Linked DNA regions of Nothobranchius furzeri. The protein of the gene in region 2 interacts with the protein of the main gene of each other region in a pairwise test. Links are inferred from orthologs where the notes say so. Each region holds a gene or a part of one and is shown on either strand. Other genes may lie near its edges.

The links.
Region 1: the proteins of ralgds (region 2) and rras2 interact in a two-hybrid assay, tested with the Homo sapiens proteins (2 studies listed by BioGRID and IntAct). The link is inferred for Nothobranchius furzeri from reciprocal best matches to the Homo sapiens genes RALGDS and RRAS2.
Region 3: the proteins of ralgds (region 2) and kras interact in a two-hybrid assay, tested with the Homo sapiens proteins (3 studies listed by BioGRID and IntAct). The link is inferred for Nothobranchius furzeri from reciprocal best matches to the Homo sapiens genes RALGDS and KRAS.

What each region holds. Positions count from the first base shown.
Region 1 is NC_091749.1:61,820,955-61,824,609, reverse strand, and holds part of rras2 (ras-related protein R-Ras2), read left to right. Parts: intron 1-409; coding exon 410-518; intron 519-1,498; coding exon 1,499-1,617; intron 1,618-3,655. UniProt on the Homo sapiens protein: GTP-binding protein with GTPase activity, involved in the regulation of MAPK signaling pathway and thereby controlling multiple cellular processes. Regulates craniofacial development.
Region 2 is NC_091750.1:38,647,289-38,651,566, reverse strand, and holds the end of ralgds (ral guanine nucleotide dissociation stimulator), read left to right. Parts: intron 1-1,316; coding exon 1,317-1,391; intron 1,392-2,657; coding exon 2,658-2,924; intron 2,925-3,003; coding exon 3,004-3,118; intron 3,119-3,389; coding exon 3,390-3,565; 3' UTR 3,566-3,741; downstream 3,742-4,278. UniProt on the Homo sapiens protein: Functions as a guanine nucleotide exchange factor (GEF) activating either RalA or RalB GTPases and plays an important role in intracellular transport. Interacts and acts as an effector molecule for R-Ras, H-Ras, K-Ras, and Rap.
Region 3 is NC_091744.1:73,826,206-73,828,630, forward strand, and holds part of kras (GTPase KRas), read left to right. Parts: intron 1-219; coding exon 220-339; 3' UTR 340-344; intron 345-2,425. UniProt on the Homo sapiens protein: Ras proteins bind GDP/GTP and possess intrinsic GTPase activity. Plays an important role in the regulation of cell proliferation.

The DNA.
Region 1 (3,655 bases), on a different chromosome or scaffold from region 2:
GAACACACACACACACACACACACACACACACACACACACACACACACACACACACATACAAATGTTTGTTTTAAACAGTTTTTCCTTCCTCCATATACATTAGTCAAGCCTTACCCGATTTACTATATGCTTACCACGGCTGGAATGCTATCCAGGGTTTGTGTTGCGTGCGTCGTCGTCGTCGTCCCCCCCCCCCGCGCAGACTGACATTTTCATTTCCTGTCTAGTTGACTGTTATACGTTGTATAACACGCCAGCTGTGTTATAGCGGGGAAACATTTAATTTGATCTAGGTTTCTTTAGCCTCATGCAGGTGATTACCCTGATTTTTGTGTTGTTTGTCTGTATCATTTGGGGTGAGTCTGCTCTGTAGACATCCACGTAACACCACCTCGTCTGATTTCACAGCTTTGAAGAAATCTACAAATTCCAAAGACAGATTCTTCGGGTCAAAGACCGAGACGAATTTCCCATGATCCTCGTAGGAAACAAAGCAGATCTGGATCTACAGAGACAAGTAAGTTTGCATTGATCCGAAACCCTCTGACTGACAAACGCAAGCGTCGTTTTTATCATCCAAGGAGATTTGAGCGGGTCTGAAGGGATTCACAGTTGTGTGCTTTACAGTGAGCGTGTTGCAGCTGCAGCTGGTTTCTAAGATACGACAGGATGTGAACAGAAAAATGAGAGAGTCTGCAGGAACTGGGGTGTCAGAAGGGGAGGATTGATGGGGAAGAAGGAGCATGATGAAATGAAGACTTTTAACTGTTGGGATTCAATCACCTGTCTTTTTCATGTGATGCCACATCGCCCCCTACTGGTTAAAATAAATATCTCTTGAAGGCACAGTTAACTTTCTATGAATCCGTTTAAGCATTTTGCATCACATAAAATTCCCCTTTTCTAAATTGTCTCACCTTCAGGTGTAGGTATAGGTATCGCCATTAGAATGACGGTGACCAAATTGTACATGAAAGTCTGTAAACATCCAAACGGCAACTCAACAATAGCAGCCGATATAGTGACTGACATTGCTAACATGCACGCTCAGCCCATCTTTCTGCATTCTGCCTCATATCTCACGCACATTTTTAAATCACGAGTCTGAATGCAAATTTTTTGCAGAGTCCCAGATGTCCTCTACATGCTAATGAGACTGCTTGAGATCTGGTTTGGCTTTATGAACATGTTCTGTTTAAATAAAGAAAAGTAAGGAGGAAAGCACCATAGGGTGCTTCTCTAAAGATGGAACCGAGTTTAATTATTAAAACGACAAAGGTGAAACTCAATGGGTAAAGTTGGTTAAACTGTTCCTGGGAGACGAGTCAAGTTTGCTGAATGATCGTGGTATTCTTTTTTTTTTTTTTTACCTCATTCATAAGTTAAGACAAGAATTACTCAAATATAAACATAAACACTGTCAGAGGATGGTGTTTGGGTTGTCCCGTGCATTTGTGTTTGGTGTCAGTGTTTTTCTGTTTATTTTTTTTGGCACAGGTAACCCAGGAAGAGGGCCAGCAGCTGGCCAGACAGTTAAAGGTCACGTATATGGAGGCTTCAGCCAAAATCCGAATGAACGTAGACCAAGCTTTCCACGAGCTGGTTAGAGTAATCAGGTATGTCCTTCCCATTACCAATGATCAAACCGTTACTGTTGTTGATCCTTCTCAGAAATCAGTAAAAAACACAAACAATATGTTTTCTGTTAATGTGACGACCAAAATAAAGAGATAAGAAGTAACCTGGGGGACTCACAACAGTAGCAACTGTTGCTAGGAAATACTTTTTGCCGTGTTTTTCTTTTTTTACTTTTTAGGACGAATTGGAAATAATCGTATTGATATCAGAAAACTGTATACACACGTCTTTTGTTGTCCGTGACTTCAAATGGTGTTTTTCGTTTTGGGACTCTGGCAGTTTGCCCTAAAGATGAAGTGGTAGCAGCCGACTGTTTCTCCTTCTCTGATATCAATGTGCGGAGGACTCTGTGGTCTAGTGAGACAACCGTATGGTCCAGTCGGTGGTTTTGGGCCAACATGGAAGCAGTCCGCGAATGTACACACACACACACACACACATCACGCCTGGAAAATTTGCAGGGGAATCACTGGGTTGATCTAATGGTTGCCACACCAGGGCCGCGTTAAAATAAAATAAACTGCTTGACATTATAATCGATTATGATATTCTTCCACAACGATTCATAACTAGATAAACTGCATTTCTTGCAGGAATGCTGTTTGAATGCTGGATAGCTTAAACTGTTAGCTGAATCAGCTTAATAGCTGAACTGAAGCTGAAAGTAAGCAAAACTGTCAAAATGAGCTGAATGTGTTGAAAGGTGTAGAAGGAAAAATCACCAACAAGCAAATAAAGCACAAAAAGTAAGTGAAGAATGGAGAAAAGTTATCCTAAATAGCAGAAAATTGAAATCTGTGAACATTGTATAAAAATCTGGACAGCTAAAATGTCTAAACACCTGTTATTTCAGTTGGACAAATTTAACAGTTTAATCTTTACATTTAGCTGAACTGTGAAATTAGCAGCTTATGTATGGAGCTAGGATTGGGACAATATTCAGCGTAACTTGTACCAAGTTTTGTAACTTCGATCATGTTTCATCACATGTAACTTTGGATTCGTAACTTTAGTTTTCTTTTAATTCTCAATTCGTACTTGTATTGTTTTGTAACAGGAACATTGTATTTTGTACATGTATTTTTTATTTTGTAAAATCAAACTTTTATTTTGTACATTTACTACTCATTTTGTAACATCAAACATTCATTCAGAAACATGAAACTTTCGTTTTGTAACTAGCAGACTTCCAAATTGAAAAAATCAAGGTACAAGTTTGCAATCAAAACTCTCAAAACACACATTTCATTCTACAGGTACAAACCTCAAATCTACAGTGTTACAGATCTTTTTGTCTCGATTCTAGAGTCAGTGGGAGGAACTTGGGTGAAACCAATGAGAGCACGAGTCTTAGCTACCAATCACGTTTCTCGAATTCCTGTCCAATCATTGGGAGAGGAAGGCAGGGTTCTGTCAGAGCTGTAGAGAGAGTTACGACACGGAATGCGGGAGCATGGGTTTCAATGAGACAGAATCAGGGTCTGTCCTCTTCTAAGGTTTGTAGAGAAAGAAATGTAACCCTTAAGAACAAAATGAAACCCATTCTGAAAAGCTGACAAAAATTCCTACTTTTTGAGATATGATTTGTTTCTGTACTCCAAACGGTCTGGGTGTTGGAAAGAGTTGTTTCCAGAAAACGTGAAGGTCAAAAGTTAGAGTGTGGAATTTTCAGTTTAGAGTGGTGAGAGACATTTTTTAAATTTTGAATATTGTCAAAGAAATGAACCGTACGACCACAATGTTTGGAGTACATTCATGAGTTATAGCTCAAAACGAAGGTATATCCGTTAGCTGCAAGCCAGCATGCGTCTCATTTCAATCGGACTTAAATCATTCACTGCCATTGACGACTAAAGTCGTCATTTTAGATCCAACCGTTCACTGCCAATGACGACTAAAATCGTCATTTGCATTTTTTTACTGTTAGAGCATCGGAACGAGCCCCCGCGCTGAGAGAACAAACATTTCAACCCTGAAGCCGATCTTCATCCGCATACGTCACAGATCACATGATCA
Region 2 (4,278 bases):
TTTGGGTTGTCAGGAAACTATACTGCCCCCTTCTGGCCAAAATAGGCTCCTGACGACATGATGTCACAAAGCACTTAAAACTTTTCTGTCAAACATTTTCTTCTTCTGTTTATTTTCTGCAAAAGAGCGTTTTCTCCCCATTAATCAGAGTTTGTCTCTGAACCCGTTCTGCTGTCCAGCCGTCACCAGGCGAGAGGCAGGAGACACCTGGGGCCAGGCGGGAGGCGGGGGACACCTGGGGCCAGGTGGGAGGCGGGGGACACCTGGGGCCAGGCGGGGGGCACCTGGGGCCAGGCGGGAGGCGGGGGGCACCTGGGGCCAGGCGGGAGGCGGGGGGCACCTGGGGCCAGGCGGGAGGCGGGAGACACCTGGGGCCAGGCGGGAGGCGGGGGGCACCTGGGGCCAGGTGGGAGGCGGGGGACACCTGGGGCCAGGCGGGAGGCGGGGGACACCTGGGGCCAGGCGGGAGGCGGGGGGCACCTGGGGCCAGGTGGGAGGCGGGGGACACCTGGGGCCAGGCGGGAGGCGGGGGACACCTGGGGCCAGGCGGGGGGCACCTGGGGCCAGGCGGGAGGCGGGGGGCACCTGGGGCCAGGCGGGAGGCGGGGGACACCTGGGGCCAGGCGGGAGGCGGGAGACACCTGGGGCCAGGCGGGGGGCACCTGGGGCCAGGCGGGAGGCGGGGGACACCTGGGGCCAGGCGGGAGGCGGGAGACACCTGGGGCCAGGCGGGAGGCGGGAGACACCTGGGGCCAGGCGGGAGGCGGGAGACACCTGGGGCCAGGCGGGGGGCACCTGGGGCCAGGCGGGAGGCGGGGGACACCTGGGGCCAGGCGGGAGGCGGGGGGCCTCGTTTTAAAAAATTTCTAATGTGATCAGCTGTTTCTGTATCACATCCCTCCTCCTGGGATCTTTCTGCATGGAGTTTGCATGTTCTCCCTGTGCACGCGTGGGGTCTGTCTGGGTACTACGGCTTCCTCCCACCATCCAAAAACATGACTGTTAGGTTAATTGGTTTGTCTAAATTGTCCTTAGGTGTGAGTGTGTGTGCAGGATTGTTTGTCCTGTGTGTCTCTGTGTTGCCCTGCGATGGACTGGCTCTCTGTCCAGGGTGTACCCTGCCTACTTGCCCGTTGACTGCCTTGAGATTGGGTCATAATGAATCTGTTCAGTTTGAAGCTGCAGAAGACTCTAAAGATAACCTTTGAAATGTTTAAAGTCTACCCGTGAACTCTAGCGGGAACTAAATGTGGATTAATCATGGGACATTAGTGGCTGTGTCGGGTTTTAAACCGTTTTCTGTGTTTTGTCTCCAGACGTCCACGCCTTCGGTGAAACTCACCGTTTCTGCTCTGGGGAGAGAAGCTCCAACAGCAGAGACAACATCAACAGTAGGTTTGGGGCTCCAGAGACACTTTTTACATGAAATTAAAGAAATGTCTGCATTCAGGGTTAAGTTCTCAGGTGGAGTTCAAACCAACTTTATTTAAAAAGCACCATTTCACCACAAGCGCTGAACAAAAGCTGTTATGTTATGCAGTCGTGATCCTAATAATAAGATGAGCGTTAGCTTCATCTGGACCTGCAGGCAATGACACAGACATCAAACCCACACTGGTAAACAGGAAGTCCAGATCAGGAGAGCTTGGGAACTACAAGCTCCGCCTCCCACGCTGGTCCTTCAGGCCAGGCTGAAGACCAATGGTGCTGCTGTGGCCCCCAGACTCTGGACCTCTCTCCCCCTGAGCCTGAGATCAGTGGACTCCTTTAAACTGGCCTGTTCAGGCTTTGGTGGGACCCCCTCTTCATCCTCTTCTTCCTCACTAGCTTCTCCTCATGCTGCTGTTTCTACCAGTTCTGCCTTTCTCGGGATCCTGTGTTACATTTTCCCTTTTTTATTATTAAATCGTTTGATCGTTTTCTTTTTTACTTGAGGCTCTCTAAACGGGGCATCCGCGGGTCCTTAAAGGGTCTTAAATGTGCTTTTCCAAATTTAAGGCCTTAAAAATCCTTAAAAATGACAAATTATCCTTAAATCCAGTTTCCAAGTGTCTTAAATTGCCAAAGACCCAATAAACAACACACAAGATTCTTTTATGTCTATAAAAATGTTGTGAATTTCTAGTTAGTGTTCAGCATTTTTTGTGTACGATGTTGGCGTAAGCGGAACCGTACGCATTCAGTTGGTTGTGAAAGGGGCTATTTTTAGATGAGCACGTTAGCTGGTTAAGCTAGTGGGAGCTTGCGCCATGGGGAAGTGCAAGTTTAATGGTAACTAGATGGCTAATCCCACGTTCGCGACGTGGTTAGCACCGCTTCCAGGCAATAACTGGAAATTATAGCTTAAATTTGGTCAAAGTGGCCTTAAAAAAAGGTCTTAAAGTCTTAAATTTGGCCTCCTTAAACCTGCAGATACCCCGTTTCTTCCTTTGGAACCACCTTCAGTAACGCTGCAGCTCTGAAGCGCTTCTAACCCTGTCCGCTGACAGGAGTGCAGTGATGGCGCTGTCAGTCACAAACACATGCTAATGCAGGACACAAAGCTCCTGATTTCTGAGACCTTGTTCAGATAAAAACATAAAAAAAACCTGATGAATTAGTTTTAGTACAAACAAAGTTAAGTCATCTATTACCTTCCTGTTTCCTCCCTCCTCCAGTTCTGGGAGTGCACGTCTCTGTCGTCTCTTGACACCTCCGGGATGGGATCCAGCTCTGGTTCCGCCTCAGGCTCCAGCAGCGCCTCCTCCTCCTCCGTCTCCTCCTCCACGCCGCTGTCGGCCTCTCGCTCACACAAACGCTCGGTGTCGGCGGTGTCGAACTACTCCACGCTGTCGCTGCCGCTCTACAACCAGCAGGTGGACGACTGCTGCATCATCCGGGTGAGCCTGGATGTGGAGAACGGCAACATGTACAAGAGCATCCTGGTGAGAGCGGAGCAACCTTTCTGCCTTTTACGCTTCAGGAATGGCGTCTAATGAATACGTGACCTTTGGGTTAACTCAGGTGACGAGTCAGGACAAGACTCCCGCCGTCATCAGGAAGGCCATGATCAAACACAACCTGGAGCGGGAGAAAACCGAGGAATACGAGCTGATGCAGAAACTCTCAGAGGACAAAGGTGAAGGCAGAAAATGAATCCATGCATCGCGGGTTCTCCTGACGAGAATAAATAAGATGTAGCTACTGCTACCGGGCAGACCCCCACCTGCCATGTGGGGTCACTAACATTAGCTTAGCTTCACAACCAGACCAGCTCCTTCACTGCTGCTGGTGATCAGATGCGAGTCTGGGTTGCCATGGTGACGACACTATCTGTAACAGCAGCTTTTCTCGTGGATCTGACCAATAAAAGCCTCTTATTTAACCGCATTAATGCGTTTGTTCCGCAGAGCTCCGGATACCCGACAACGCCAACGTCTTCTACGCCATGAACTCCACTGCCAACTACGACTTTGTGCTGAAGAAGCGAGGCCCGGCGCGGCCGCCGCGGGCCAAGAACGTGGCCAGCTCCACGCTGCCTCGCATGAAGCAGAAGGGACTGAAAATCGCCAAGGGGATTTTCTGAGGGGGGCGGGATGCTCGCCACTTCCTGCCTCCTAACCGCCATTTCCCCCCTGGTGTGGTTGCTCCTCTTTGGGAGACGACCTGAAGTGTCCACGCTTTAGTTCGGACAGCGGCAGAAACGTTGGAGGACGAACCGACTGGTGTTTCCGTGGAGTCGCAGGAAGCAGAGGAGCACTTTAGCACTTAGCTGCTCAGCAGCTGTCTGCGTTTCCGAAACTCACCTGTGGGGAAAAGCAGCCTCTGTTCTCGGCACTACGGCAACCCTTTATGTCATTTATGGAAAATTATTAAGAGTTCCTGATCCATCACCTTTTGTTTACAGCAGTTTACGACCACGTTCACTTTTACACGCCGTGACTCTTCTGGCACTCCCCCAACCCTAACCACACACACACACACACACACACACACACACACCCCTAACGGACCGGTGGGCGGCGCAGACACTGCAGCTGTCAGAATGTGTTTCTGTGGTTCAGGGAGCTTCAGCTCCGAATGCGTCGGGATGCGCGTTGGCCCTGACGTGCTACAAAAAAACTGGAGACCTGTCAAAGCGCAGTGGGCGTGGCCACGAGTCTGGCCCTGCTGTTTGTTATGTTACTAACACACGTTAACCACTACATCCTGGAGGGCGAGCATCGTCCTTGGACCGCGACTGAAAGCAGACGGAGTGTAAATATGTCTCGTAGGAGACTCCTGTTGTTGTTGATGTTT
Region 3 (2,425 bases), on a different chromosome or scaffold from region 2:
ATTGAATTGATATTCAGTTTTTCTAGTTTGAGATGATCATGAAACAAACACCCCCTTTTCAAGCCTGCAGAGGTAGCTTTCCTATTAAATAAGACGCATTTAAAAAAGACAGCCTGTTTAACTCTGTTTCTTTAGTTTATCACACTTGCACCTATGCAGTATGTCCCCCTCCCCCTGCGTATTCCTCAGCATTGAGGAAAGTTGTGTCTTATACTGCAGAAAGTGGAAGAATCCTTTTACACTCTGGTACGGGAGATCAGGCTGTACCGGGTCAATAAGCTCAGCAAGGAAGAAAAGACTCCAGGCTGTGTCCACCTTAAAAAGTGTGTTTTGATGTGAGAGGGGTAAGTGCACGCAGCCGCGCACCCACGAGCTCAGCTCTGTTTGTGTTGTTAGTGGGACTTCTGGAAAAGGCTGTGGAAGTGAGCGCTGGTGCTTTAAATTGTTTTTCTCAAAGCTAACCCACTGGTTTCATGGAGGGTTATGGTGAGGCTCTAACACCGGACTGATTCCTTCCTCTTTCGGTGTGTCTGTGGTTGATTATTATCCAGGACAGCTTTCACACTGGGTTCATTTATTCTCTGAGCCGCTTTGATCGACCCCTTCTGAGGCGCTTTCACACGTGTTTCGCACACTTTTACATCATTCTTTCCTCTTGTTGGTGCATGGGCCAACCCCTCTTTCTACAATGAAATTATAGAGCAAATTAGGGCTGCACGATATTAGGAAAACCTGCGATATTCGATAACAGTGCTTAATATTGCGATTTCGATATTACTTGCGATAAATGAACAAATACTAAAGTATGCAGTGTTGATGTCGTCTGGCGTGTGACGTCTGCTCTGGGTTCAAAGCAAACAAAAACTAATGCATGAATTCCATTACAACATAACATTTTTATTGCAAAAATATGCAGCTGCACCTGCTACTGTATTAGCAGCAAAACAGCAAACTGCATGCATGCAGTTCCTCAGTGACTTTAAAACATCACCTCCACCATAGAACATTTACTGATGCTCCAAATACAGAAAAACATCCCTTACCAGGGTTTTTGAATAAATAAAAAAATCTGAAAGTAAGTTTAAATGTTAAATAATAGTCAACATCACTTAAATGCAACAGCAAATTCTCTCATTGCTACTGAACATTTTCTCCACTAATGTGGTTATGAGATAAGGCTGTTGCTGTAATTGGGAAGTGATCTGTCCTGGGCCAAACTAGGAGAATATTAAGATTTTTTGAGGGAAAGAGAAAAACAATTGTCTGCCTTTCAGAAGAGGAACTGGCAAAAAAAACTACAAGGAAAATATGTGAAAACGTTTGTTTTTAACCCCAAATTGAACAAGTTTACCTAGATCTTAAAAAGCAGCTCAATATTTTCCAGGCCCTCTTTAGCAGGAGAGTGCTGTAGCCTTTTAGCTGGAAGCTAACCGGAGCCTGGGGCTAACATCACCACCCGGTGGAACACTAACAACATGAAGGTGGATTGGTTCACTGGCACGTTTCGGAGTCAACCCGGTAAAAATGATTAACAACACCGAGCGGACTCACGTTCACGTTTGAAAGCAGCGCTGATTCCAGAAACCTCAGCACAAAGTGCGTTCGTTGCTCTGAGCCAGCATGACGAACAAGGGAACGGCACCGCTAACTCAGTTCGGGTGATGCTTTCATCCTAATGGTCTACGTAGGGGGCGGGCGTATTACGTGAACTGACCCATCTGATTGGCCGCATATCAGAAGGGCTACATTTGATTGGTCGAATAATACTTCCGCGTAAAAAACAGAGCTGGTTTACAAAAAGCTGATGTATGACACAGATGGAAATGTTTGAACCAAACATTTATCGCTGTTTTTGGCGTGCTTTGCGATGGGCCTATCGCACGTCCTGTTATCCCGATGACGATAATTTTTCTATATATTGTGCAGCCCTAGAGCAAATTAATAAAAAAAAAAAACCTCTGGTCTGAGTTTGTTTAGATCAAATACCCTTGTGATCAGAGCGGTGGACAAATCTGTTCCTAAATCAGACCGAACTACCAGTGTGAAAGTGTCCAAATGGGCTGAAATCAACAGGAGCGCAGGAGTTTTGGGCTGTTGGTCAGCATTTGTGATTAAAGGATATTATTGTAAATGTGGGACTAAATCATGCTGAAATGTCTAAAACTTGTGTGTAAACATGTCTGGCAAACGTGAATCCTTCCGTTTTTGTTCTTTTGTTGCTCTGCTGTCTTTGTGACGACTTGACTCGCCATCAGGCTCTGTACCCAACTGTTATTGCAGATTATTGTCGCATTGTATTATGTTGCGACAATGTTTTATCCCCCAGACACCAGCTGCATTGACATAAAGCCGTCTTTTTCCTCAATTAGCATAATTAAAAGTAGGAGGGGAATCAGTTTGAATCCATTTGACGTAAGAAATAATA